3 linked regions of the Arabidopsis thaliana genome follow. The protein of the gene in region 1 purifies or fractionates together with the protein of each later gene. This does not show direct contact. Each region holds a gene or a part of one and is shown on either strand. Other genes may lie near its edges. The genes, in order: AT3G02860, IMD2 and IMD3.

Evidence for each region.
Region 2: the proteins of AT3G02860 (region 1) and IMD2 fractionate together in Arabidopsis thaliana (co-fractionation; one large-scale study listed by BioGRID). This does not show direct contact.
Region 3: the proteins of AT3G02860 (region 1) and IMD3 fractionate together in Arabidopsis thaliana (co-fractionation; one large-scale study listed by BioGRID). This does not show direct contact.

The regions. Positions count from the first base shown.
Region 1 is NC_003074.8:622,997-632,706, forward strand, and holds AT3G02860 (zinc ion binding protein), read right to left. Parts: upstream 4,372-9,710; 5' UTR 4,162-4,371; coding exon 4,073-4,161; intron 3,938-4,072; coding exon 3,838-3,937; intron 3,639-3,837; coding exon 3,479-3,638; intron 3,286-3,478; coding exon 3,003-3,285; intron 2,809-3,002; coding exon 2,733-2,808; intron 2,639-2,732; coding exon 2,592-2,638; intron 2,490-2,591; coding exon 2,303-2,489; 3' UTR 2,167-2,302; downstream 1-2,166. Other genes in the region: SKOR (STELAR K+ outward rectifier), read right to left, coding at 239-477; VTC4 (Inositol monophosphatase family protein), read right to left, coding at 4,746-4,845, 4,935-4,991, 5,103-5,203, 5,294-5,362, 5,451-5,494, 5,628-5,682, 5,824-5,908, 6,006-6,109 and 4 more; ILR1 (Peptidase M20/M25/M40 family protein), read left to right, coding at 8,997-9,356, 9,451-9,576. UniProt on the Arabidopsis thaliana protein: Essential for breaking seed dormancy before seed germination. Prevents reactive oxygen species (ROS) accumulation in response to abscisic acid (ABA) and oxidative stress, probably by repressing the accumulation of ABA-induced ROS-scavenging enzymes (e.g.
Region 2 is NC_003070.9:30,282,532-30,292,466, reverse strand, and holds IMD2 (isopropylmalate dehydrogenase 2), read right to left. Parts: upstream 4,705-9,935; 5' UTR 4,635-4,704; coding exon 4,418-4,634; intron 4,219-4,417; coding exon 4,089-4,218; intron 3,980-4,088; coding exon 3,868-3,979; intron 3,790-3,867; coding exon 3,714-3,789; intron 3,624-3,713; coding exon 3,535-3,623; intron 3,443-3,534; coding exon 3,356-3,442; intron 3,266-3,355; coding exon 3,149-3,265; intron 3,059-3,148; coding exon 2,951-3,058; intron 2,870-2,950; coding exon 2,816-2,869; intron 2,710-2,815; coding exon 2,557-2,709; intron 2,416-2,556; coding exon 2,341-2,415; 3' UTR 2,168-2,340; downstream 1-2,167. Other genes in the region: AT1G80570 (RNI-like superfamily protein), read right to left, coding at 236-1,647, 1,776-1,806; AT1G80555 (Isocitrate/isopropylmalate dehydrogenase family protein), read right to left, coding at 4,728-4,974, 5,049-5,178, 5,251-5,461; AT1G80550 (Pentatricopeptide repeat (PPR) superfamily protein), read left to right, coding at 5,763-7,109; AT1G80540 (envelope glycoprotein B), read left to right, coding at 8,209-8,356, 8,469-8,608, 8,986-9,173, 9,256-9,546, 9,645-9,703, 9,797-9,833, 9,917-9,935. UniProt on the Arabidopsis thaliana protein: Involved in leucine biosynthesis; catalyzes the oxidative decarboxylation step in leucine biosynthesis (primary metabolism). Catalyzes the oxidation of 3-carboxy-2-hydroxy-4-methylpentanoate (3-isopropylmalate, 3-IPM) to 3-carboxy-4-methyl-2-oxopentanoate.
Region 3 is NC_003070.9:11,140,320-11,150,107, forward strand, and holds IMD3 (isopropylmalate dehydrogenase 3), read right to left. Parts: upstream 4,399-9,788; 5' UTR 4,344-4,398; coding exon 3,949-4,343; intron 3,880-3,948; coding exon 3,768-3,879; intron 3,697-3,767; coding exon 3,532-3,696; intron 3,458-3,531; coding exon 3,371-3,457; intron 3,292-3,370; coding exon 3,175-3,291; intron 3,079-3,174; coding exon 2,971-3,078; intron 2,887-2,970; coding exon 2,680-2,886; intron 2,593-2,679; coding exon 2,524-2,592; 3' UTR 2,142-2,523; downstream 1-2,141. Other genes in the region: AT1G31175 (cytochrome C oxidase biogenesis Cmc1-like protein), read left to right, coding at 230-586; IMPL1 (myo-inositol monophosphatase like 1), read left to right, coding at 4,542-4,841, 5,025-5,092, 5,203-5,336, 5,435-5,523, 5,624-5,681, 5,747-5,799, 5,892-6,104, 6,191-6,292 and 1 more; PP2-A9 (phloem protein 2-A9), read right to left, coding at 6,604-6,999.

The sequences.
Region 1 (9,710 bases):
ATTTCTCTAATAAAAGTAGTACGTAGCTTCAAAATATATAGGAAGATTGATTTCTATAAGATTTAGTCTCAGTATAAAGAAAAAAAGAAATTAATCAATACCTACCCTAAAATCCATATAACAAAGTAAGTGGACTAGAATAATACAAAATAAAACATAAGGCCTACTTATGAAACTATTAAAAGTTAAAGGACTCAGAAAACAAAATTCAAAAGCGTGACGAGAATTTATGGTGTACCGGTTATCGGGATGAACAATGGAGCCTCTGGAGATATCTCTGATTCCATTAATGACGGTGAACTTTCCACCGCTACCGCCGGCGAAGTCTAACCCTAAGAAATTGGTGAGAGGATTGAATCTGTTTCCTCGCGATTCTACAATCCCATCTCTGAAATCATCAACCTCGTAATCCTCTAATTCCACGTCTGATTCGCCGCCGCTACGATAAGAAACTCCGCCGCCGCTACTACCTCCCATTACACCTCCGAATCACGATACCAGATAATCGGATATTTGACGAAGAAGACAACCTCTCTGTTTTTCTCTCTCTTTCTCTTTCTCTCTCTTTCTCTCTTATTTCCTTTTTGTGATTTTCAGTTATATGCCTAAAATTGGCGCCTGTGTTTTCAAATTTCGAAACTTATCAGATAGAGAAAAAAATAGCAACTCAAGTTAATTCGATGAACAACACCATGGAATCGGCGAAATTTATACACAAATTTTCGGTTTTTTTTTGTTAGTGCTGTTGTTTATTTTTTACATTAAAAGTTCAAATTGTGATTCAAAAAGCCCATGCTATATTAATATTTTTATGGTCATAATAAAAGATAACGTAGTGTAAAAGAATAATAATATGTTTTAAAAAATAAGGTGAACCAGTGAGATATGGGTTTATTTTTAGAATGACCTATGAAGAGCACCATATAAATGATAAGAGAGTCTTTTATAACCACAAGATAAACAATAAGTCATTACGTGTTACGTACATGTGATAAGGTATCGTGATGTGATAAAGTTCGAGGAAGTCACTTTTTCGATCATTTTATTCGTAAATGTTTCTTTCTTTCTAATGCTAAACGATTTCTCCTTTATCACGTTTAAACATGCATAAGAGATTAGAGATCATAAGATTAAACACTTGTGATTGTGTGTGGTATTTTACAAGATATCGTTTGGTTATGTAGGTCGAAGCCGATGTGTGTGTGCGTGTGTGTGTTTTGTCACTCTTTTTTTCCTAAAATTCACATGAAGACGATGAATTCGAAAAATGGTATTTTATCTAAAACAAATTTGGAAAAACCAAGTTGGGATACAAGTGTTATGATGGATAGACTCTAAACTGAAATGTCCCTAAACTTTGATTCCCGTTGTGAAACACTTTACCATTAGAAAATTCACGTGACAATTTATATGATTAGTCAAGCTAGATAATGTTAAGGTATTATAGGAGATTGAGTGCATTCAGTTAGGTCAGAAGTAATTAGTTAACTAATTTTATGTTCTAATGGGATATTTGTTATATCATCGATTGTGCATTAACCGACCTTTGCTTTGGCTGTTCTCTCTCTCTTTGTTTTGTGGACTCCTTTTCAAGTTATAAACAAGATAACATAACCCTTTTTTTTTTGGTTATGCATATATCTTGATTTAAATATTTCAAATGTCAATGGTTTATAGTGGAAAGCCTAATGCATTTTTTTTATAAGTTATATAAGCATATGGTTGGTAATCACAAATAGTCCAAAAATTCACAAAAAAATATGAATATGTTTAGTTAGTGGTCTTCTTCCTTCTTCAATACTTGACCCCTAATTAGTTTCTCGACATATTTGACCCCTAATTGGTTTCTGGAATTGTCTCAATTATTTATTATTCCACATGTATTTGTTTAACAATAATAAGAGTTTTAACTTTAAAGATGATTGTTAAATTTACCACTTTCGTCATTATGTTTTGTGCCACCAAATGATCAATATCTGAAACATTCTCACTCAAAACTAGAATGATACGACCACCAGTCATAATCACTTTTTTTTTTTTAGTTTATCACCTGAAACTGGTCGGAACTGCCACAGTTTCAGGTTTCATCCCCAGATATTTCGGCCTTTTTGGCAACTCTGGTTATGAAAATTACGTTCTTGAATTATACCCATTAACCGATAACTATACCTCAAATACCAATTGATCCTCTGAAACTGATAATTGTATATATATGAGATTGATTAGTTTTCACTGTATATTCTCATAGAACATTGTATGTTTTACCAGGGTACAGATTTTTAAACAGTCTTTTCTAGTTTATTCAAAGATGTTGAGCTCTCCAATCAACAGCAGAATCCTCGTCATCCTCCTCATCGCTGGGCGATTCTTCTTCTGTCTTCTTCGGCTTTTTAACAGACCCCTCAGAGGTTTTACTGCGCTTCGCTAATCTTGCCGCTTTAAGTTCCATTTTCTTCCTCTTCAGAATCTCTACTTTCTCTTTGTATGATCTGCAGAATAAGATTAAAAGGAGAAGCCAAGTGTTTACTTAATCTTAAACAAGTCTCAACATTTCCATCTTCTTGCTATAACAAAGTAATGAATCAAATTACCTTTGCTCTCGTTGTTCCTCCTCTTCTATAGTTTCCGCAGCATCAACCTGACAATTAGAGTGCGAGAAAAGCGATTTTAAGTTTAAGAAAGAGCTTATGATACTGTCAGCAATTTATCATAGTGACAGAAAGTTATCTGACCTCTTCTTCTTCCATGCGGCTATCCACTACCTGCAAATCATCTTGTATCAACTTCTCAAATTCTTTATATTCATCCCTGTAAGAAGATCCATGTTTATATAAGTTCACGAAGAGAATTCTTAGGTACAAACCCATAAGATCATATGAACCATTCAAATTGAGAATGTAGGAAAGTAACTGGATCACAAGGTCCACAACAATGAGGTTTCACTTTGATTTTCTGCATCTGGAAAAGTAAAAGCAACAAAAAAAAAAAGAGAAGAAACTCACTTGATATCTGGTTTGACGAGCTTGATTCCATGGGCAAGCAGGTCAGCTTCTTTATTATCAAAAAAACCGGTTGGAAGGTTTCCATTCACCATTGGTTTTGTTTCTGGACCAGTGGTCTGTGTCTGACTCTGTTTAGGTTCACTGGTGGTTTTGGTATTTGAAGAATCAGTTTTCTGATTATCAAAGAATCCGGCTGGAAGAGGTCCCTTTGACTTATTTGTTTCAGATCCTATAGTGTGCTTTGATTGCTCTAAATTCTTGGATTTTGCTGGTTCTACTTCTGCTGCACATATATTTGATCAATAAGTTTTTTTTTTCGATTGACGAATGAAACTATCATCAATCTTTCAAAAAACCTAAGACTAGAGCCTTTAAGCATGGCATCCACATAACTAGCACCTAAACCAAAAGCCTTCTACTAAGAAAATTATTCGAAAAAGATAAGAACAAGAAGAGGAAAGTGCATTAGTCATTACCTCTAGCAGGCTCACGATTTTCGAAGAAATTTGGCGGAAGACCAGATGATGTCTGAGAATTGGATGATTTAGCCAAAGCTTCAATTTTCGTTGGCCGAGTTTCAGCAGGTTTGCTACCCCGTTGGACTCCCGCTGCACTAGCCTTGAGACTATCAATGGCCTGTCCAAACGTTACATTACGAAAGCTAAGTTAATAAGATTAAAGAACATAAAACAGAGAATCTAACGCATAAAATCATATAAGAGCATGAAATCTACCTATCTTCAATGTATGTAATTTATCAAATATCCCATTGTTGTTACTCAGGTTATAAGAGATTGTGAAGTAAAGCTTATGGAGCAGAAGACACTAAGTTTACCTCGTGGTGCTTACGAGAAGCTTGATGTACATCCCAGAGTGATTCAGATTTCAAGACGACATTGCAAACTCGACACACAGGCTGGTCTGATTCGTTGTACCTACAAATCCAAAGAACAAACTCTTCATCCCAACTACAGCTCAAGCCCAATCCCCAGAACCCACAAATATTTGGAATTGTAGAAACCCAGAAGTGACATCGAAACGAAGAGAAGAAGAAGCTAACAACGGTTTACCTAACGAGAGGAGAATCTATGCGGGTGTCTTTCTTCTTGGCGTTGAGTTTAGACCGGAACATGGCCTTCTTCTTCGCTTGAGCATCCATCACTCTCCTTCGTAGCAACCCACGCAACTCCCAAATTATCACAACCTCGCAAGGAATACGAAGATCTGAGAAATTTGTTCTATTCAAATCAAACCCTAAGTCCTTAGAGGAGGACAACAGTCACCGTGAGAATCAAAATTCCTCCCTCCGTTCTTCTCCGCAATCTCTTCTCTTTTACGGGTCGGGTCGATCCAACTCGGGATTAGACTTGAGACTTTCGGGATGCTTCTGGGTCGTTAGTCGTAACTGGGCCGGACTCATTATCCCCATTTTCCTCTGTTGTTAATTTAGTATGGATCACAAAATACCTTAAACTCCACCTTTTATAAAAAAAAAAAAAATGCAAACTCGATTACAAAGATCAACTACATGGAAGAACAGAATTATATCATTCAATACCAAACATATGATTTTTTTTTAATTGAATTCACAAAGGGTAGCAGAAAGAAAATAGTTTTTTTTTTTTCTCAACAATTGAGTTTGTTTTCTTTCTACCGAAAAGAAATATTCAATAATGTTAAGTTTTTGAATTGAGTTTGATCATATAAGGTTGAGACCATATTGTAAAATAATAACAGATGACTTCATGCCCCTGTAAGCCGCAACGCCTCAGCGAATAACTCCTTGAGAGAAGCGTTTGAAGCCGCGATCCTCTGCGATGTTATGTCCAAATCTTTACCGGATCTGATGAACAAAGACGACATAAAACAGTTAGTTATAATCAGTTGGACGGTTTGAGAGTGAGTGTGTTTGGTTTAATCTCAAACTCTTACGGATCAAAGATGAGTCCACCAGCTTCTTTCACGATAACAATTCCTGCTGCAATGTCCCTGTGAAAGATTTGATATTATTATGCCATCATCAGGATCTAATTTTGTTTGTACAAGAAAGAAATCCCCTTTTTTAATCCAAGCAAGGAAAAAAAAAAGAAGACAATTTACCATGGACCACCGAAACCGAGCTCGTAGAAGATATCAACCCTTCCACACGCAACGCCACAGAGGTCCAGTGCACACGAACCACTCATCCTAAGGGACCTGACCTGATGAATGAAGGACACAACAATCATGAGTTTTGGCAGAGACTAGAACCAAATTGGTGGAGTTCCAAATATCTATCGATAAACTTTTACCTTGGTTAGCAAACTGTTGATTCTGTTGGTTGTATCGTCTAATGTAGCTTTATCTCGTTTAGTACCCGCCTATATTCAATTGGTCACATTAGCGATGAGAGGAGGCTTCATAGCAATCTAGTTTTAGTAGTCTAACACAAAGGAGCCAGATTTTTACCTCTGTCACGAGCAAAGCGGTTAAAAGTTCGCTTTGAGCTGACACTGCAAAAAGAACATTGTTTGAGTTGAAAAGAAGGAAGAGAACTCAAGTCTCTGAACAAGTGATAGCTATACTCCGGATGCCATAAAAAGAGATCAAGAAATTTTTTATTAGGTCTCTAGAACAAGTGCTAACCTTTGATTCGCTTTCCATTCAAGAATGCTCCTTTCCCTTGGACACCGGTGAATAGCTGTTTGATCATTAGATATTATGTAAGAATTGAGAAAAATCTTGAAACATGCATGTACAGAGCACCATCAAGGAAACTATGTATAATGGTAAGTTGTAACGATCGAAGAAACTTGAAACAATGGAATACACAATCTTTTACCTCTTCCATAATAGGATTATAAACAACTCCAACAACAGGGACTTTTCCAATCGTAAGTCCAATGGAAACACACACGAAAGGGAACCTACAAAAAAAAAACAGCATTTGTTTTTGTTTTTGATGAAATGGGCAAATGAAACACACAGGTCATTCAAATGGGAATTGATCAATAATGATAATACCCGTGAACGAAATTGGTTGTTCCATCAAGAGGATCAACAATCCAAGTTGGTTCGTCAGTTAGTTCTGTCACACCAAATGCAGCTGTAGTTTCTTCTCCTATGAACTAATAAATTATAGCAAAACTCTAATGATCAACGCGAGGAAGAAGCCAACAAAATGGGAATTCAAAAGAAGAAATAATCACCACCTTGTGATTGGGAAAGAGCTGCTTGAGATGATTAAACACAAGTTCTTCACATCCTTTATCAGTCTCTGTCACCAAATCCACCTAAAAGCAACAATTTAAGGAGCCATAGAAGATAATTTCAAAAAAAAAATTGACACTCTTAAGTAGCCATTCCCACTTATTGAGTGATTGAAACATTATCTGAGCGGAGGAAAGAAACAAAAACCTGGCCTTTGTGTTCAACATGTTTAGTCTCGTAAAACCCTTTACGAATGATCTGCAGAACGCAAACCAAAAGGAGCCAGATTAAATAACGATTAGCCAAAATATCGATCAAAACTCAAGGAGATCGAAAGATAGACCTGTCCAGCTTTTTTAGCGGCATCAATGGCGGCAGCCAAAAACTGATCTAGAGAATCTGCGTCAAATCAATGTCGCCCGAAAGAAAATGAGGAAACAGGGAAATCAAATAAGGTTTGCAGAGATTGATCGTGACTTTACCATTGTCCGCCATTTTCGAGAGAAGACGAAAAGAGTGATGCTTTCTTTACTTTGGGATGTGTTTCAGAGAAAACCAAAAGTTACGGTTTTTGTGGTTAGGCACAGAGCGAATATTCGAGGCATCTAATCTTATACTGTATTATATTAATTACCCAATTAGGCATCCGAAATCACCCAATAATCACGGTCCGATATGGGAAATAAGAGGATTTCAGAAAATCCGTTATACAAAAAGCTAACCAATGATCATTTGAAGATTAGATTTCACCTCAATTTTATCATCCAACTTTCTCTTGACAAAACCCGCATTCTGTAATCAGTTCTCTTTTCCGGGTCGGACAGACCCGAGTCGGGTTTGGACTTGAGACTATTGGACTGGACTCCTTATTCTGAATATGGGCCGGAATTCTTTTTTTTTAGAACAAGTGCATAACACGGAAGGAAAAAGATGTTCTAATTTATTCTGAATATGGGGCCGGAATGATATTGGTGCATACTTGTCTTTCTCTGGCTGGTTCACTTACATTGATGAGAAAAATGCGAAGAACACTTTGAAATCGGTTTGTGATCAAGAGACAAAGGAACAATCGTCTACTGCTTCTGCCGTTGTGTGGACAAGAAAAACTCATTCAACACCAAAATTATGTTGTTTTATTTTTCCGATATTTTACATTTTGTCTTATAAATCTCATGATATAACAGTAGCCCCTTTCTGAGAAGAGATTTGTTTTGCATACTTGTGTAATTTACATTTAAAAAAAACACAGATCAACAGAAGAACAGAACTAAACACTAACACTCTAAACGAGACCACCTCTCCAACACGAGACATCAAACGCCACACATACACAATCTCTGCAACCTAAGAACAGAACTAAACACTAACACTCTACAATCTACTTGTTCATTCTTGAGAAATCAAAAGTCTCTATTCACCTTCTTCTTCTTTCTTCTTCTTCGAGAGAAACGAAAATCAACAATCTTTTTCATCTATTTCTCTTTGGAGAAGAGAAGCAAAGCATAGAAATGTCCATCACTTTATATTATTTGTTGTATTCTCCATTCATAGGCAAAGAGAGAGAGAAAGATGTCTTCATCATAGCTAAGCTTTTGGTTGCCTTAGAGATAGTCTCGACCTTTCTCTCGTTCCAAGACAGCGATGACGCTCTCTGCTGCTCTCGGCGGAAGATACAGCCAGTCCCAACGTACATGGACTTTGAAGTAGGTACTAACATGAACGTAGACAGTGTTGTGGTTAGTATACTTTTGAGGATCGGATCATCAACCTTATCAGTTGATTCTTCAACTTAATTAAACTCATTATATAAAAAACAAAATATTTATGTGACCGTTAAGAACTTAATTGTGAAAGAAGAGGAAATAACAGAGAAAAAAGGGAATTGTAATGTGACCGTTAATTGTGATTAGCAATATCCCTTTTTCTCTCAAATAATAATTGGGGCATTTGCAAATCTTACACTTGACTTCCTTGAAAAGAAAGCCTCTGTTGCGTAATTACAATTTGCATTTTGGTTGTATGTTTGTGATTGTTTCATAGGTCTATTCCACAACTTTTTACCTTTTTTATTTTTTTACTCTCCACAACTTTGTACCTATAACTAAATAATATAAAGTCACAATTTTGTACGGATATTCTGATGTTTCATTAGTCATTTACATTTTTATTGATTATGTTCGCATGTACAGCTACTTTCGTAAACAGCTTCTTTTGTACGAATTGTTCTAGAGAATTTTCGATCATAATCAAAATATAAACAAAATGTTTAACAATGCGCTTCAAATAGGTGGGCCTTTGTTATAAGTAATTTAAAAGTCGAAGAACCCAATGGCCTATATGTCAATCAAATACATGGGCCTATGTTATAAGGAATTAAAAATTTAAGAACCTTAAAGGCCTACATGTGATTCTCACAACTCTAATTCATGCCATGTTTTATTTTAAAAGTGTTAATTTTCATTAACATAAATGGTAAAATCGTGTATTAAACGTACTAATTCATTTCAAGTAAATATTCCTTTTATACCGTAAATATACTACATTGTATCATTTTCATATTTTATCTTTGGTATTTCATTATTTTCTTCACATTACAACCATAAATTATGAATTTCACATTAGAGGCGTATACGTATTTAAAAACGATTAAAAGAGTTTCCAAAAACGTGTGTAAATTACGTACTATATAAATATTAAAAATGGATCGGTGATCCAACTCCTTCTCCTTCATCATCATCGTATTCACCGTTGTCCTTTCTTTCATTGACACTTGCCAGTTTACATCGACAAACAAAAGAAATCAGAATGGATTTCTCAGGGAGCTTCTTTGTCATCTTCGTTACCTTCTTCTTTCTCCCTCCTCTGTCTTCAGCTGGGAGCTACGATTCTGGTTCGGGTCTCGAGTCACTCGCTCGCGGGATGCTTCATTCAGCCAAGGATCCTGAGTTCTTCGAGTGGATGAGAGGAATTAGGAGAAAGATTCATGAGAACCCAGAGACAGGGTTTCAGGAGTTCAAAACGAGTCAACTCGTTCGAGACGAGCTTGACTCGCTTGGAGTGAAGTATAAGTATCCTGTGGCGAAGACTGGCGTCGTCGCTTGGATCGGATCCTGTTCGAAACCTGTTTTCGGACTTAGAGCCGACATGGACGCACTTCCGTTACAGGTTTGAAATCTAATAATCAAAGTTCCGATTTTTACTCTGATTTTTAGATTGCTTTGTTTGACTAATGAATTTGAAAAAATGGGGACAAAAAAAGGAATTAGTGGAATGGGAATCGAAAAGTAAAGTAGATGGAAAGATGCATGCTTGTGGTCATGATACTCATGTTGCTATGCTTCTTGGTGCTGCTAAGCTTCTTCAAACCACAAAACACCTCATCAAGGTCTCTCTTTTTTCTCTTTCACTCAATTTATATGTATAATTTTGAATGATTCTGTCTGTGCCCTGCAATTAAAACTCATTTCGATGTGGGTTAGTGTTTTCTAAGATTCTTAGATATATGTGTGTGTATGTCTT
Region 2 (9,935 bases), on another chromosome or scaffold:
TGGATTAGAAAGACATCAGTCAATTAATTATTATGACGCTATATTTATAAAACGCACCATTAAATTAAAGAGTAACAACATTACATCATCCATGACTGTTTATATACAACTGCTATGACGTCATTTTAAACTTGATCATCACTGAGGCATTAGTAATTTTTCTGTCCCAAAGATCGAACATTTACACTTACTTACACATGAGTAAAATTGTACATAGGAAGCAAATCATACGATCTCAATACATCCATGACAAATCTTGCTTAAACGAGACAGACGTTGCAGCACCATGAACACCTCTTCTTGAAACCTGAGGACAATCTTCAACAACAAGCAACTCCAACTTGTGAGATCCAACAAGTGGTCTCATTCCATCGTCTGTCACTCCCAGACATTTTGATAACTTCAACACATTGAGAGAAGGAAACTGGCTCACCAGAATCAACCCCTCATCGCTCACTTCTTGGCAATGGACAAGCTCTAAGATCTCAAGTTTCTGAGCTGAACATAGAGCCTCCATCCCCATGTCGTTGAATACACACACATGGTCAAGAGAAAGCTCGCGTACTGGGCATTTCTGGATCAGAGTGATTATCCCCTGGAGTGTGAAAGAGAAGAGGGAAGGGAATTCACCGTCTGAGAAAGATATCTTGAAAGATTCGAGCTTTGAGCAGTGTTGAGCTATGGCGCTGAGGCTTTCATCGGTTAATCTTAACGTGATGTTGTTTAAGAGAGGCAGAGTAAAATCGGACGGGACACGGAGCGAGATGCTTCTTAGGTGACTAGCTTTCTGAACCAATGCTATGATGTCTGAGTCGCTGACACCGGTACACATGTCCAGATGAAGCTTCTCCAGGTTCTTGCAATTTCTCAGCACACAAGCGAGCCCTCTACCAGGAGCTATGATGCAGTTACCGAGGCTGAGCTCCACCAGACTGTCACAGGGAACCAACTGTTTGGGCCACCGTTCCACATCTAACTGGTCGTAAACCTTCATGTACCTGTAATTGGCATCTACCTCAAACTGCAGACTTGTCAGCTTTCGCCAGCTATTCCTCAGCTTGATCAAATCACCTTCCCCAATGGCTCTGCAGTTCTTGATACAGAGTTCTTCTAAAGTCTCAAGCTTTCCGAAATACTCCAACCACTCTACACTTGCAACGTTTAGGCATCGAATGAGATGAAGTCTCCTGAGTTTCTTGCATCCTACAGCAAGTGACAACACACCACAACCAGTGATCCTGGGAGCGAAATTTAACTTCAACGAAGAAAGCTCTGGACACGACGACAAATGGCCTATGCCAACATCGGTGATGAAGGTGCAGAAGCTCAGAGTGAGATCAGTGAGAGAATGACAGTTTGTGGTCAGGACAAGAAGGCCTTGATCGTCAACTTGTTTGCCAAGTTTTGACATCCAGCCTGAGTATATAATCTCCACTTTGGAAAGATTTGGAAACCTCCTGCAGAGAGAAAGCAATGCATCGGATGCAGGAACTAAACCGCAACCAATCCGCAGAGAGTATCTTTGCTCGTTGTCCAGCGAGAAGAAACGTTTGCATGAGAGTGAAAGCGAGTTTCTGTCATCGGTAGTATGAAGCTTACTGAGAATGTCCCAAACCAAATGGTCTGGCAATTCATCCATTTGTCTATCTGTGTGAACAAAAAAGGATCAAAGCCTAACATGTCAAGTGAAAAGTCCACCTTGAAAACACAAAACAGAGCTTTGATGGAACTCAGAGATTATGCAGAAAAACGAAGGCGTTTGACTTTTTACTTACCACCACCAAGATACGCAATCCCAATGAACATTCAAAAAGCCATGAAAATTTCCAGAAACAAAATTGATAAGATAGAAATAAAAAACAGAGGAAAAACTCATCAGAGATGTCTAAATTGTGAATTAGTTCCCAAGCAGAGATTTAGATTTCTTGAACATAATAATGAATAATCAAGAAATAACAAAAATTCACATCCTTGATTCATCGATTAAACTCAGCTCTAAAAGTAGGCTTGCCATGAAACAGAAATCAGAGGAAAAAGATCTCACCGGAAAGAGCGAAAACTCTTGCGACGTTTGACCACACTCGGCGCCGGATAAGGACTACGGGGGAGATTGAATCTTTTTTGTCTCTCTAATTTTTGGCTTTTTGAGTGATACTCTGACACGTCATTATCTCCACAAGGATATTTATTTCTCAGAAAAAAACATCAACGTTTCAGTTCGATCAAATAAGTCCCTCTAATAATCTCACATTATAAAAATCGCTAATAAAACCGAGACTCTTTGAGTACAAGGTACAACATTTGTTGTTGGAAATGAACTCTTCAAAGTTTCTACAAATATTAAACAGAAGCTGGAACTTGGGAGTCCACTGACTTCAGAACCTCCTCTCCCATCTCCTTGCAGCCCACCAGTTTCTGATCATACCCCATACAAAAAGACAAAAAAATATTACTACTGTTTGTTGTTGCCTGCTTGTTTAAACGTTTCTCAAACACTAACTCGGGACGTTTTTAAGGAAAAGGAAACATGTTATAAGAGTGGTTCAAGAAACATACTGTTCCCGCGGAGTATATGTCTCCAGTTCTGAATCCGTTGTTCAGAGCAACCAACACTGCGTCTTCAATTCTCTTGGCTGCCTTTTCTTCTCCAAGTCCGTATTTCAGAAGCATTGCAGCGCTTAGAATGGTTGCCAATGGGTTTGCCTTATCCTGAAAATTCAAAGAATCAACAAGTTGTGCTCTTTGATTTTGGCATTAAACTAGTTTTGATATCAGGGAACAAAAACCGTGTTTGTTTGAAGGATAGAGTTAGAACCTGTCCAGCAATATCAGGTGCAGAACCATGTATAGGTTCAAAGAGTCCAGGTCCCTGTATTACACATGGCGGGTTTATGTTCAGACTAGATCATACTGCTTGCATACTAAAAGATCATATTATTTTATATCATACCGAATCACTGAGACTAGCAGATGGCAGCATTCCTATGCTTCCTGTGATCATTGAAGCTTCATCGGATAATATATCACCAAAAATGTTGTTTGTGACGATGGTGTCAAACTGCATTTATCAAACAATCAAATAATTGCAAGGATTTACACCTGTCGCACATCAAAGCTGACTAGTTTGGCAAATACAAAGTACACGTACCTGTTTTGGGTCACGAACAAGCTGCATCGCGGCATTGTCAACATACATATGTGACAGCTCAACATCAGGATATTCAGAGGCTAATGCTGTTACTCGTTTCCTCCATAAGATTGAGGCCTGCATATAAAAAAATTCAGTGTTATGTTCGTTCCACAGGAAACAAGAGAGAGGAAAACAAGTCAAAGAAAACATAATTATCAACCGCACTTCCAAAACATTAGCTTTGTCAACAGAACACAGCTTGCCACGCCGTTTCCGAGCAGTCTCGAAGGCAACACGAGCAATTCTATCAATCTGACGAACATACAAAATGCTTTATTAGATTTGACCCTAGTACTTAACAATCAGTCCACGGAAATCTGCATCTGAGATTTTCAATAGAGTACCTCGTGAGCAGCATAAACCTCAGTATTAAACCCAACTTCCTCGCCATTTTCATTGGTCTTTATGCCCCTTGGCTCTCCAAAGTAAATACCTGTTACCATGAGACATGACATTTTATAAGATATTGTCACACGAGAAAGACAAGAATTACGATCAATTTTTAATAAGTAATAAAACTGACCTCCTGTAAGCTCCCTTACAACCATTAGATCAACACCTTCTGCTACCTCTCTCTTTAAGGTGGAAGCATCCACTAACTGTATAAAAACAACAAAATTAGAGTTTCACACAAGAAACAAAGTTCAGGCAACCAAGAAATCTCTGAGGATGGTCACCTGTGGGAGGACTGTAGCAGGTCTCAGATTTGCAAAGACTTTGAGAGCTGCACGAATCTGAAGTAACCCCTTCTCAGGCCTCAGATGTTTTTCATTGTTATCCCATTTGTACCTTAAGTTATTATTATACCAACATGAGAAAATGACTAAATGAGAAACTGTATTTCCCAAAACAATAATTAAGAGCCAACAAGATTAGTGGGAAAAGAGAGAAGACAGACCCTCCAATGGCTCCAAGAAGCACTGCATCTGATTCTTTTGCAGCTGAGATAGTCTCCTCCGGCAAGGGCACTCCGACCAAATCCAAAGCAGCTCCTCCAATGGGCATCTCACGGAAGTTAAATTCCACTCCTGATACAGAGCACAGACGCAATGTATTAGGCAATCTCCGTGGCCTTTGAGCCCAACCCACGATTGTAAATCCCATTCAAAATCTCGCCAATTTCTAATGCTCACATCTTTCAATTCCAAGCAGAAAACAGTAGTCCCCAATTGAAATGAAACAGCAACTAAATTAAATAAGAAAGGGAACAAGAGAGAGAGAGAGAACCTTCCAAAGATCCAGCTTGCTGAAGCACATTTTTGGCAATGGAGACAACCTCCGGACCGATGCCGTCTCCGGGAAGGAGAGTGATGGTGTATCGTTTTTTACCAGGGGAAGCAACAGCACATCTTACTCTAAAGGGTGCCAATGACTGTTTACTTACAGCTCTGAACGTAGCCGGAACCTTGACCGTCCGGATATTCGTCTGCAGAGCCGCCGCCATTTCAGGGAGAAAGGATTGATTGGTCTTTTTCGGATTTTGAAACCGCAAGTCAAATGGATACTACTAGTACACTCAGACTTTACTTCTTTGCATTTATGGGTCCTTTTTTGCACATTGTTTTATTTTCAGAATTGACCCCAAAGTTTTTAATTTTGTAAATGGACACCTTACATTACCACATACAACATATATATATATATATATATATATATATATATATCCATTTATTAGCAGCACCTCACAGAAGAAGGAGGGCTCATCAAATACTTGAAGAGCCGCACGAAGCTGCAACAAGGCCGTTATCGGCTTCAAATGCTTGGGATTGTTATCCCATTTCGGCCTTCAATTCAAAAATCCAAACTTTAGATGAATCCAAACTTGAGATGAACGAAAGTTATGGTAATAATACCATACCATCCAACAGCTCCGAGAAGAAGAGCGTCTGATTGCTTTGCCCTGATCAATGTTTCCTTAGGCAGTGGAACTCCGACAAGATCTAAAGCAACACCTCCTATAGGCAACTCCTCGAAGCTAAAATCTATCCCTGATATCCAAAAACACGATTTCAGTTGGGAAAATCAAATTAAATTAGGCAACAGGATGAGAAAGAAGGAACCTTCAAGAGACCCAGCTAAACAAAGAACGTCAACAGCGACTGGGATCACTTCGTTACCGACGCCATCGCCGGGAAGAACCGCGATGGTGTACCGTTTCTTTGGAGTGTTGGCGGCACATCTGATCACAGAAGCTCTCCTAAAGCTCTGTTTGGTTGCGGACATAAACGCAACCGGAATCTGGGTACTGCTGACGTGGATGACTCCCGCCATTTACTACAACAAAGACTACAAGGAGACCTGGAAAGAACTTTTGTGTTTATAATCAAACCAATATTAACCGTTCGATTATTTATTTTCACCTCTGGATGGCTCAATTATGATGGGCCTAAGAAAGATTCGTAGAAGATAGATCGGCCCAAATGTTCCAAATATTAACACAAGTCCAGCGGGCTTTGGGCCCATAAATGGTATTCGGGTCAGATTTTAAAATGGGTATTCGGGTCAAAATTCGCCCGTTAGATGATGAACCCTAATTTCGTGTGTACAGGGAGCGGAGAGGGGAAACAAGAGAATGCTCTTGTTGCGGCGACTCAATCGAGTTCGGATTGCTTCCCCTTACTCCGTTCGGCTTCTGTCAGTAAAACCTATTTCAAATGTCGATGATGCGAAGTTTCGATCTCAGGAAGAAGAAGATCAGTCCAGTTACGATCAGAAAACAGTATGCGAAGCTCTCACATGTTACAGCAACGATTGGCAAAAGGCGTTGGAGTTTTTCAACTGGGTCGAGAGAGAATCCGGATTCAGACATACCACCGAGACATTCAATCGGGTGATCGATATTCTGGGTAAGTATTTCGAGTTTGAAATTTCTTGGGCTTTGATTAACCGCATGATCGGAAACACGGAATCTGTGCCGAATCACGTCACGTTTCGTATAGTCTTTAAGCGTTATGTGACGGCTCATCTTGTTCAGGAGGCTATTGATGCGTATGATAAATTGGATGATTTCAATTTGAGAGATGAAACATCATTTTATAATCTGGTCGATGCGCTTTGCGAGCATAAACATGTGGTTGAAGCTGAAGAGCTTTGTTTTGGGAAGAATGTCATTGGTAATGGTTTTAGTGTGAGTAATACTAAGATTCATAATCTGATTCTTCGTGGGTGGTCGAAATTGGGATGGTGGGGTAAATGCAAGGAGTATTGGAAGAAGATGGATACTGAAGGTGTTACTAAGGATCTTTTTTCGTATTCCATTTACATGGATATCATGTGCAAGAGCGGGAAACCGTGGAAAGCTGTGAAGTTGTATAAGGAAATGAAGAGTAGAAGGATGAAACTCGATGTGGTTGCTTATAACACTGTGATTCGAGCCATTGGAGCGTCGCAAGGTGTTGAATTCGGTATCAGGGTATTTCGGGAGATGAGGGAAAGAGGTTGTGAACCTAATGTTGCGACTCATAACACAATCATTAAGCTTCTATGTGAAGACGGGAGGATGAGAGACGCGTATCGGATGCTTGATGAGATGCCTAAGAGAGGTTGTCAACCCGATTCGATTACTTACATGTGTCTCTTTTCCCGTTTGGAGAAACCGAGTGAGATCCTAAGTCTGTTTGGTAGGATGATAAGGAGTGGAGTGAGGCCAAAGATGGATACTTATGTGATGCTAATGAGGAAGTTTGAGAGATGGGGATTTCTTCAGCCGGTATTATATGTGTGGAAGACAATGAAAGAGTCTGGGGATACTCCTGATTCAGCGGCGTATAATGCTGTGATTGATGCGTTGATTCAGAAAGGAATGTTGGATATGGCTAGGGAATATGAGGAGGAAATGATCGAAAGAGGGCTATCTCCAAGGAGAAGGCCTGAGTTGGTAGAAAAGTCCTTGGACGAAACGCTTGTCTGTAGAGAATAGATAACTAGATATGAAGAAACTCTTTGGTTATGTGTTCAAAACAGACATGAAGCAATAGAGAAGCGTCCTTTTGGATGGAGAAATCTCCCCAAGGTATATCATCTTTGCCATAAAGTGGCTTTGTTTCAACTCAAAACCGAGGAGAAAACACTGAGGTTCATTGAGAAATCTGGTTGAGTTGTGTGTCTTAAGCCAAATTCCGAAGATTTGGTTTTGAAAGATGGTTTGTCGCCTCCTATATGTGTTCTACTACATATACGTACCATTTGTAATTCACTCTCTAACTTAATTTTTTTTTGTTGTTGTTCCACTCTGTGACAACCACAGGCATTTTGTGGCTATTTTGTAAGATCGTTAAGCTCAATAAAACACCCTACAGAAACGATGGATGATCCATCATGGATCACATTCTTAAAACCATTGGAGAATATGGCGTTATTATTGTAATTTGAAAAAAATTCAACTAAAGAATACGACTTTTAATCTTAGCTTACTTTTGTAAAGATTATGCAGACATGACGTAACAATTTTCTAAAAAAAATCTTAGTTACAACATTTTTCTTTAGAAAATGCCATGACAGAGCAAAAGCAGGAAAAGTTGGTACCAGATGATCATAAATGCAATTTTCCGTTACAAAATTAGAGTAGCTCTCATGTCAGTATTGGTGGTAATTAATGCCATTCTCCGTTTCTTTTTCTAATCTCCGAGTCGACCCTGAGTATAAAGTATTTTTACCAATTTCATTTCAATTTTATTGTATAATCGGTTTTATAGAAAAAAATGTGATTCATTAATTTAAGTTTTAGGTCACACAGCCAATAAGAGTTAAAAGAGTAATTAATTAAGGATTTTAAAAACTAAGAAAATGAGGTGAAAACTTAAAACAAAACAGAATAACAACAATGGATGGTGAAAATCTAAATAAAGGGAACAGTTTCGTTTCATCTTCTTTGTCCTTGATTTCCTGAAGAAGTAAAAGATTCTTATTCATACGTTTGATTGATAAACCCTTTTTTAGAGTTTCAGAAATTAGAAACCAAACCTCCCCCAAAAAAACAAAAAAAGAGAGAGAATTAGACAAGAAAAATAGGGAGAATAATGGTTAATAGCGAAACGCCGTCATATCATAGTCGCCGGCGTCTCCTCCTGATCACCGTTGGGCTTCTGATCACGTCGAGTTTGGTTTCTTTTTCTCATGCAGTTTCGTCTTCTTGTCATCATCGTCCATCCTCTACCTCATTTCAAGGTAAAAGTTTTGTTTCTTTTAAACCAGAGAAACCCCTTTTTTCTTTTGGATACAATTATACAAATTTGATTAAAAAATGGCTTCTGATAAAAATTTAAGAAAATGATTTTAGGAGTGAGGAGGCAAATTTTGGAAGGAGGGAATGGGACCAGATTGGTGTTAGCGGCGGAGAGGACACAGCGACCTGACCCTCTCAACCATTTCAATATTTATGTCGATGGTTGGAACGTTACCAACTCTCATTACATCGCCGTGAGTCTGTCTTTTTTAATTGATTTCAATATTCTAAATGTCAAAAATAAATTCTTTCCGTCAAACCTATATTTTCTTGAGGCATTTAGACGATTAAATCAGTTTTTGGGTAAAACATTATCTGACCACAACAAAGATATAGAATTGTATTTATTTTGGAAACGATTACACTTAAGTGGACGTTTAGACAATTAAACCAGAGTAAACTAATTAGTAGTAGTATGATGCTTTGGGGTAGATAATGTAGCAATTGATTTAGTTAAGGGCGAAAATTAAACTACAGAAAAACGTGATTTTAAAATAAAAAAAAAATAAATGTGATGTTCTTTGTAGCAAAATTTCGAAAATCGTAATGGTTATTGTTTTGTCTTTTTCAGTCCGTTGGATTTTCTGCAGTTCCATTCATAGTAATAGCAATCGCGTGGTTCGTATTGCTCGGACTCTTTCTCATCTGCTCATGCCTCTGTTGTTGCTGTTGTGGCTGTGGCCGCCGCAACTACGGCTACTCTCGCGTCTGCTACACTCTTTCTCTCGTCTTCCTCCTCCTCTTCACCATAGCCGCCGTGTAACCCATCATTAAATTACTTAAGAACTTCAAATAATCTTATAAGATTACTAATTTGTGACGCGATGTCGTTTATCTTCAGGATTGGGTCTGCAATGCTGTACACGGGGCAAAACGAGTTCTACGGTAGCGTGGAGAGGACGTTTATGTACATTGTGAAACAAGCAACTGGAGTTTTGACTAAGCTAACGAGCTTATGGGACTCGATTCAATCTGCTAAAGACATTCAGCTCGATGGACACAACCTGTTTCCTCCCGAGTTTAGAGGCAACATCGATCATTTCAACAACATGATCAAGATGTCTAACATCACTTACCCCGACCGTGTCGCTAACCAGACAATCCGTTATCTCACCGGAGCACTAAACCCTGTGTAAGTAATAAGTATTCGCTTGATATGTTTCTTGCCTCACAAGCTAAATATATATAGAAGCTCTGTTTGAGTATTTGACTCAAATGCGTTTTCCTCAGGAGATATGTGTTAAATGTGATCGCTGGTGTAATGCTCGCAGTCGCATTCCTCGGCCTTTGTAAGTCACAAATCAAAACATATCTATTTTGATCTGAAGATACAGAATAATCTCATTATTTTTGTTTCTGTTTTTCTTCTTCTTTCGAAACAGTGTTTTCGTTCTGTGGATTGCGAGTTCTTGTCTACCTGTGAGTTACACTTAGACTACGTTGTTATATTATCATATCATATCCAAATCAAATGTTTATAATCAGTGTTTCAATTATATCAGATTGGTAATTCTTGGTTGG
Region 3 (9,788 bases), on another chromosome or scaffold:
TATGTTTTGCATATATTTTTCTTATGTTTTGCTCATTTATGTATATTTTGCTAGTTGAATTTTTTGTTCAAAATTTCCAGTATTTATAACATATTCAATTTTAAATTTAGCATTAATTTTTTAATAAATTTAATTTGATATTTTGAATTTGTTTAATTATTTTGTTTTTATATAATGATATAATGTGTGTTAAAAAAGTGGGTTTGACTCTATTAACAAAGAGATAAATATGGGCTTACAAAACAAAAGCCCAAACCCAACTAGTGAGTTACATCGTGAGATGAGACGGATTCACACCGGAAAAATCAGAGAGATTCCGATGAAATCTTGCGATCGGTTGGAGGAAGCGTTGTTGCAGTGCCACCGTCGGATGCCGGAAGGACCGGCAAGGAGATCCGGTTGCAGACATTTGAACAAGGCGTTTGCGGAGTGCGTGGTGGCGGAGGCTTGTCCGGAGGAATCAGAGGCGGTGAGGTCTCTTTGCTCTAGCGGCGGAACAAGCCTTAAGCGTAAACAGTGCGAATACGCTCAGCTTTCACTTTCTCTCTGTCTCTCTCGCCATCAGCGAGAGTTTGAGCAGCGTTAGATACGGTGGTTTTGTTGTTGTTGTCGGCGAAAGGTTATTTTGGATCTTGTGAGCTACGTAATTGGTAAAATTAGGGTTTTAAAATTCTGATTCTTTTTTCTGCATCTGTTGGAGATAGTAAGGATGGATATTTCTGGGAATTTGAATATGTTCATCATCAAATGGCAGAAGAATGATTTAAGGAAGGTTGTGAATTTTTGTTGAATCTGTAGTAATCCTTTATATGGTTTTGGTATAATGAATTGTGTAATCAAGAATCCGTTATTCAGATTTCTATAAGCTGCTCTGAACTGAAGCAGGAGCCATTGTGGTGGAATCATTTCCTTTTGTTAGCTACTTTCAAGTTTTGGCAGCTGTTGTTGGATTCAGAAATAAGGCTGTTTCTGTTTTTGTGTAAGATGTTAGATTCAATGAGGTTTCGAGTGTGATCAATCAACAGCCTCAGGTCTATTGGTTACTACCAGAAGTTTTGGTTGTTTGTCTCAGCTTCAGCATCTTGACTTGACGTTCAATCATCTGACTGGAACTTCATCTCGGTTCTTGTTCTCTTTGCCAAACATTAGTTACTTAGACTTTGCATCTAACAAGCTCAGTGGGAAGCTACAGCATAATCTGACCTGTGGAGGCAAACTTGGATTTGTCGAATAACAGATTAATTGGGACCCCTCCCCGTTTCTTTTCCATTATTGGCAGTCATGATCAGCATCAAGAATTCGTAATCGAAGAGGCTGAAACTGAGGGAAAACAGTTCCAAGGAAGAAAGATTGGGATTTTGGTTGCTGTCCTTGGTGGAGATGTATTTGTTCTTGTGTGTATAAACCGCTGCTCTTGCTGTTGTTCAAGAGAAAGGTCAGTGCCTCAAACTCGGCTTAAGGTTGTGACAGAGATAACTCACACACCAGTCTCTCCTCCGAAGTTCTTGCTAGTGCAAGTGAGTAACTTTGACTCAAATTGTAGACCTCCGCCTGGTGGCAATTGTCTTTCAGGAATTTAATATCCTTGTACGACTTCGTCTTGCAGGGTTAATCTCTCAAGCAGCAAAGCTAGGTGCACAAGGTGTGCCCTCATTCCGGTCATTTTCTTTTGAAGAGTTAAAGGAAGCCACAGACGATTTCGATTCATCACGTTTCTTAGCTTTGGAATTATGCAGGAAAATGGCTAAAACAGAGGGCGATGTGTACAACTTTGGATTCATACTTCTGGAATCTCTGATAGGACCAGTACCTACTACAAAAAGGAGAGGCCTATCTTCTCAACGAAATGGTATCATATAGGGTAAAGAAAAGAAGCAAATCTTCATCATTGTTAATAGCTGTTGCTGCAATGTTGTATTTGCAGACGTCATTTGGGAGCCAAGACTGTCGACAGAAAATAGGAAGTCCAACGGTCCTAACAACAAGCTCGCAGGAGTCTTTACCCAATTGCCATCTCAATCGCCAATAAATGTGTTTTGCTTGAACCTTCTGCAAGACTTCCTTTAAAGATGTTCTCTGGAACTTACCATATGCAGCTCAAATGCAGTCTGCCGCAGACGCTGAACGCAAATCTGATAAGTCGTCGTGAATCCAAAGGCTAACCTGATGATTGATAGTTGTTTTCGGATTTATAAATGTTATGTTTTATAAGTTTGGTTTTTCAGTAGAAAAATGTAATACTCTAGCGGCTAAAAAACATAGTTTCTTGTCTCTCTTGAAACTTTATTCGTTTAACAAATATTGATTGAAGAAGATGTTGAGTTTTGTAGTTGGCGAGAACTTCTCAATCTTCAAGAACAAGGTACTGAGGCAGGAGACTTGTCAAATGTTCTTGGAGAATTTTGTCTTTGAATTGCAGAATCGATCCCAAATATTTTATTATTATAAAAGCTACAAGAATACAGTTTCTAATACATGTATTAGCAAAAAAGTAACAGTAAAACCAAGGGCTACACACTTTTCTTAAACAGGAACTTTGGAGTCCACTGATTTGAGAACCTCCTCACCCATTTCCTTGCATCCCACCAGTTTCTGCATTTTCAAAACACAAAAAGACTTCTTTAAGTATATTGTCATTAACTTATACAAAACAAAAGACAGAAATCATCATACACATACATTTCCGGGGGAGTAGATGTCTCCGGTTCTGAAACCTTTGTTCAGAGCATCCACGACCGCGTCTTCAATCATCTTTGCAGCCTTTTCTTCTCCAAGTCCATACTTGAGAAGCATCGCCGCACTGAGAATGGTGGCCAATGGGTTTGCCTTGTCTTGTCCAGCTATATCTGGTGCTGAACCATGTATAGGTTCAAAGAGTCCAGGTCCCTAGTTTTCATCACAAGTTTAACAATCAATATATGATAATAATAAACAGAGGAACCTTGAAATATTAGATTTAGTCTTACTTACCGATTCACCAAGACTTGCAGATGGAAGCATCCCAATGCTACCAGTGATCATTGAAGCTTCATCAGACAATATATCACCAAAAATGTTATTGGTGACGATTGTGTCAAACTGCAATAATGTTTTTAAAAATGCCGTGAGTACTACAAGTTCCACTTCTGTGTTAGCTTAATCAACGGCTAAGCTTTATATATGCGCGAAGATCACCTGTTTCGGGTCACGGACAAGCTGCATCGCAGCATTATCGACATACATATGTGATAGTTCAACATCTGGATATTCAGAGGCTAAAGCTGTTACTCTTTTCCTCCACAATATTGATGCCTATACGAAACAAAACAAAAAAATAATTGTATAACGAAAAACACACAAGAGTGGAGTGGAAAAACAATTCAAAACATACATCCAAGACATTGGCTTTGTCAACAGAACACAGCTTGCCACGCCTTTTCCTAGCAGTCTCGAATGCAACACGAGCAATTCTGTCAATCTGAAGAAGATAAAGCAATGCATTAATACACATACATTGTCACAGAGCAGCAGATTGTGAAGAGTAAGTAGTACCTCGTGAGCAGCGTAGATCTCTGTATTAAAACCGACTTCTTCGCCATTTTCGTTGATCGTAATGCCTCTTGGCTCTCCAAAGTAAATACCTCCAGTGAGCTCCCTTACAATCATCATATCAACACCTTGTGCTACTTCTTTCTTCAGTGTGGAAGCATCAACTAGCTGAACAAGCAAAAACAGAAAAATTTGAGTATATTTACAACTAGAAAGCAAAGTGATAAGCAAATCAATACCTGTGGTAAAACTGTAGCAGGTCTCAAATTAGCAAAGACATTGAGATCTCTTCGAATGTTAAGCAGACCCATCTCAGGTCTCAGATGTTTCTCATTCTTGTCCCATTTGTACCTGAACAAAAAATCATCATAAAGAGAATAAATTTGCTGAAGAAACAACACACACACGCATTACACATACCCTCCGATAGCTCCAAGAAGAATGGCATCAGACTGTTTAGCAGCAGTGGAAGTTTCCTCCGGCAATGGAACTCCGACCAAATCCAAAGCTGCTCCGCCGAAAGGCATCTCCTGGAAATCAAACTCTAGTCCTTGGAGAAATCCAGCTTTCTGAAGCACATTCTTAGCAACAGATATAACTTCTGGACCGATACCATCGCCGGGAAGCAGAGTGATGTTATACCGTTTTTTCACCGGTGAAGCGGCGGCGCACCTAATTCGATACGGCGCACGAAACTTATGATCGGTGAGAGAACTGTATCTTCCCGGTATGATCTCCAGACGGATGTTAGTTTGCAAAAACGCCGCCATCTTTTTTTCGAGTTTAGGGCACCACCATCGGCAAAAACTAACCATTTGAGTATACTACAGAGACCGGTTATCTCTGGTTATTTGTTAACCTGATTTTGGTTCAATGTTCTCATTAATTTCAATTTTAAGTTCTATCAGCTTTTTGGACTCTCTCATGTCCACCATCCGTTCACTTGGCCGCGTTCATATAAACCAAAAACCGAACAACAACAAAAATTCGAAAATTCTCCGGCGACACCAACAATGGGAAGGTCTCTAATATTCTCTGGAAACATGTCATTGAGAATCTCTCACTTACCCAGATCATCTCTTCCGCTGCAAAACCCAATTTCAGGCCGGACAGTGAACAGAACTTTCCGATATCGGTGTACGAGGATTTTGTCTAATAGCTTCAAGTCCACAACGAGACTTCAAACCAAAGCTGTTCTGTCTGAGGTTTCTGATCAGACGCGATATCCCAGAATCGGCGCTAAAACCACCGGAACTATATCTCCGGCACACCTCCTTGAAGTCGTTGAACTCGCCGCTAAAACCGGCGCTGAGGTTCGAAATTTCATGTCTGTAGAATACAATATCTGAATTTATGTTTATTGGAAACAAAAACTCTTGATGAGACTTGAAATTGTGTTCAATGGTACTAGAATCAAGTTCTTGGGTTCGTAGGGCACAACTGCACAAGGAGAATAATAACAAAACTAACTTGAATTGAATCATCTGGTTTGTTAGGTGGTTATGGAAGCTGTAAATAAGCCAAGGAATATTACTTATAAAGGTCTCAGTGACTTAGTAACTGAGTAAGGACTTCTTCACCTTTTAAAATTGTTAGCTTGAGGTTTTAACTATGTTCATGTTGACTTGATTGGTTGAAGCTATTAAAGTTTTAGTACTTTTGATGAATTTGCAGTACTGATAAAGCAAGCGAGGCTGCTATTTTGGAAGTAGTGAAGAAGAATTTTAGTGATCATCTTATTCTTGGTGAAGAAGGAGGTATCATCGGCGATTCGTCTTCTGATTACCTCTGGTGCATTGATCCTCTAGGTTTAGCTCTCTTTACAAATCTCATTGCTTTCTTTTCATGTGTTTGTGTGGAATCTCTGAGATTTTTAGTATTAGTCTCTTAATTCCTTTATGCATAGATGGAACTACAAATTTTGCTCATGGATATCCCAGTTTTGCTGTTTCCGTCGGTGTTCTGTATCGTGGAAATCCCGCCGCTGCTTCTGTGGTAAATCCAATATATACTTGCACAAACCAGCTAATGCTTGTTAGTTCCTATTTGCTGATTCTTTGGTCAGTAGGATTAACAACAAAATCTCATCATGCAGGTAGAGTTTGTCGGTGGTCCGATGTGCTGGAACACTCGAACCTTTTCTGCAACTGCAGGTACTATGTGACAAGCTTATGTTTGGCTATATATCTAAATTTTGTCTAACTAGTTCACTTCTTAGGTGGTGGAGCATTGTGTAACGGGCAAAAAATTCATGTCAGTAAGACCGATGCTGTAAGTAACTTATCAAGAATCCAATTTTAAGTTTCGACATGGTGTGTTCAATGGTTTTGGTTTATTAGATATTTATTCGGGTTTGAATGAAGGTGGAGAGAGCACTTCTTATCACAGGGTTTGGTTATGAACATGATGATGCATGGAGCACTAACATGGAACTGTTCAAAGAGTTTACTGATGTGAGTCGGGGAGTGCGAAGACTCGGTGCTGCTGCAGTTGACATGTGTCATGTTGCACTTGGGATTGCGGAATCATATTGGGAGTACCGTTTAAAGCCATGGGACATGGCTGCTGGTGTTCTTGTAGTCTTCTTCATCCTTCTTGTTGTTTTTTTCTTACTAAAGTACTTAAGTTGTAGAGCTTAATCCATGTCAGAAAATGGACACAGATAGTTGAGGAAGCTGGAGGAGCTGTGACTCGGATGGACGGAGGGAAGTTTTCTGTGTTTGATAGGTCTGTTTTGGTCTCCAACGGCGTTCTTCACCCCAAGGTTTCATGAACTGTTCATACTTTTATCAATGCTTTTAATCTGTTGTGCTTAGAGATCAGGTCTCACATATTTTTTGTTTAATCGGTGTAGCTTCTGGAAAGAATTGCACCCGCAACTGAGAATTTGAAGTCGAAAGGAATCGATTTCTCGTTATGGTTCAAACCGGAAGATTATCATACAGAGCTTTAAGACTTGTTCAAGAAAGGTATATAAGATTACATTGTTATGATCTAAAGCTCTTATATTTGAACTGAAACGAGGTATAAGATTTGCGTTCGGATTATGAAAATCAATAATGATCATATTCCCCCTTACACTTCTTGAACAAAGGCTTCGTGGATCAACAGACCTGTCTTCCATCGTCCAGTCCACACCTCATACAGACCAAACTGAAGCTTAGTATCTTGGTTAAGCGCTGTGGGACTAACCAAGATTTCAAACAGGCCATCGGACTCGTCAGGTATATTGACGGGTTCTGATCCACCTTTCAGTATACCAAAGTTCTGGCTAACGGATTTGATTCTTTTCCACACTGTCTTGCCTTTCTTCCCGATTTTAGCAGACATGAAAACAGGGGCTTTGTCCCAACCGGTCGCATCCGGTTTAAACGAGATTTTAAAACCGATTCGATATGTTTTCCCGGGTTCAATCTTGTCGAATGAACCGGTTACTTCTAACCAACTCACCATCTTCAGCTCAGCAGGCATCCTAAAACCAACAATCAAATGAATCAGTTTAAGATTTTTGGTATCAGTAAACCAAAGTTGGGTTTATCGGTTAAGTCGGAATGAATCGGATGATACCTTGGTTCTTTAGGGATAACCCAATATCTCGAGTCACCTCCCCAAACAAAGTTAAGACCACTCGGTTGTGAAATCCATGCTTTTCTATTGTTCTGCAGAATTTAACAAGGAAAATACAAAAGCAAGATAAAACATTTTTAATCAAAGTTTGGTGATTTCATTTAAAAAGATGTTGCAAATTATCTTCAATAGCAAAGAAAAGAAACTCACATCTTGTTCCATTTTGGAGTCTGCCTTATGATGCGAACTCTTTTGTGAAGACATTTCTTGATTTGCCTTTTTTACAGTAGAGAAATAACAAAACCATATCTCTCGAAATGAGCTTTATGTAGAGTATTTATTTTCTCATGTCAAAAATTCAAAGTAAGATTGTGACAGAAGAAGGAAAAATAAGTAATTTACACAAAATCCTGACTTTTCTTTCGTTGGAGGGACAAAGTTAATAAAAATGCTTCAACGGCCAACGAGAGGGAAAGCATATATCCACAACTTGTTGGTCTTAATGTGAATAAAGAATCTGAGAATCAAACAGAGCAATTAAATGACATAAATTTTCTTCAAGTGCCAAGCTTATTCTTTCCTTCTCTTTTTTCCATTTTCTTTTGGACTCATAATCATTTTACTCATTTACTCAAGTTGTATCTCTTTTATAATAATCTCATTATTCACTCATTGCTGAAACGATTAGAGAAAGTTTCAAGCTTTTGGTAAAAAAATCGTTTCTTTCTCAATAATTACATTAGGGTTTTACACTACTCTTTTATAGACATTGTAGAAGGAGCTAGATATGGAACAGTCTAGAATATGGCAGATGCTGTGTAGCTGGCTATGGTGAGTCATCAGGCAAAACGCCCCTCCTCTGTACGATCGTTGCTCTGTTTTGAGCTGGAGTCTATTTTGTCTTCTTCTATTTGACTGGGCTGAGATGGGCCTTTTGTTGTTGTTGGGCCGGTTACTTGTTTGTTGCTCACACTCCCCCTCAAACTTGGAGTGGGTGAACCAGACACACCAAGTTTGCTCCTGAGATCAACAAATGCTCGGCGTGGAAGTGACTTTGTAAACACGTCAGCTAATTGAAAGGTAGCTGAAATGTGTTGTGTTTCGATCAGACCGAGTGCGACCTGCTCCCTGATGTAGTGATAATCGGTATCAAAATGTTTTGAACGATTGTGGAGAGCCGGATTTGCAGATAGGTACACTGCGGAGAGGTTATCACAGTAAACTTGTGTAGGAAGATATTGGGGAATGCCGAGATCTCGCAGTAAGAAAGAGATCCAAGTAATTTCTCGTGCTGCATAGGTTAGAGCTCTGTATTCTGCTGCGGTAGAGGAATTAGACACTGTAGGTTGTCGTTTTGCCGACCAAGAGATCAAGTTGGAGCCTAACAAGATGCAGAATCCAGTAGTAGACCTTCTAGTATTCTTGCAGCCCGCATGATCGCTATCACTGTAGGCAGAAAGAGTAAGAGTAGAGTTCCTTTTTATTGGCAAACCCATTCCAATTGTCCCTTTGATGTACCGTAGTATCCGTTTGAGCAGTCCGAAGTCAGAGGTTGTAGGGGAGTGCATTCTCTGACAAATAAAATTGACAGCAAACTGAATGTCTGGACGTGTGATGGTAAGATACTGCAGTTTTCCCGCAAGGCTTCGAAAATAGGTTGGTTCTGCAAATAGCTCAGAATTGAGGTTGTCCAATTGTTGTGGTAGAGGAGTTGGCATGGGGTTGCAATCACTCATTCCTGCCTGTTGTAAAATGTCTGTCGCATAAGCCGTCTGATGTAGAAAGAGACCATTAGCATAATCTTCAATTTGAATACCCAAGAAATAGCGAGGTGGACCAAGATCCTTCATAGAAAACCGATTCTTGAGAGCTTGTAGAAGATCTTCTAAGAGAGATTGATCACTGCCAGTCAACAAAATGTCGTCAACATATAACAGTAAATAGAGTATTTTTCCATCTTGATGACACACAAATAATGAGGGGTCCGATTTACTGCAGACAAATCCATAATCAAGAAGAAAGTTGCTGAAAGTATCAAACCATGCCCGTGGCGCTTGTTTCAAACCGTAGATGGCTTTCGTGAGACGACAGACATGAGTGGGTTTCTGAGGATCAATAAAACCTGAGGGTTGGTACATGAAGACCGGTTCTTGCAGCTCACCGTGTAAGAAGGCATTGGAGACATCAAGCTGCTTAATAGGCCAACCTTTTGATGTTGAGACATCAAGAACAAGACGAATTGTTGCTGTCCGAACCACAGGACTGAACGTTTCTAGATAGTCCACCCCTTCCTCTTGATCGAAGCCCTTAGCCACTAGACGAGCTTTCAGTTTATCGATTGAGCCATCCGGGTGAAGTTTGGTTTTAAAAACCCACTTGGAGCTTAGAATATTCATATCATCAGTTGGAGGAACCAACGACCATGTATGCAACATATGGACCCGGTTAATCTCCTCATGTACTGCTTCATTCCAACCAGGATGCTTCATAGCGGATGCAAGGGTTTTTGGTTCAGCAGTATTCATTCGAGAGGTGATGAGAGCATACCTCGTGTTTGGCTTTTGAATTCCTGCCTTTGATCTTGTGGTCATTGCATGAGAATTGATTACTTGTTCTTGATTTGCAGCAATCTCTTCTGCTACTGGATTCACTTCTTCATCACTTCCTTCATTATTAGAGGTAGGTTCAGGATC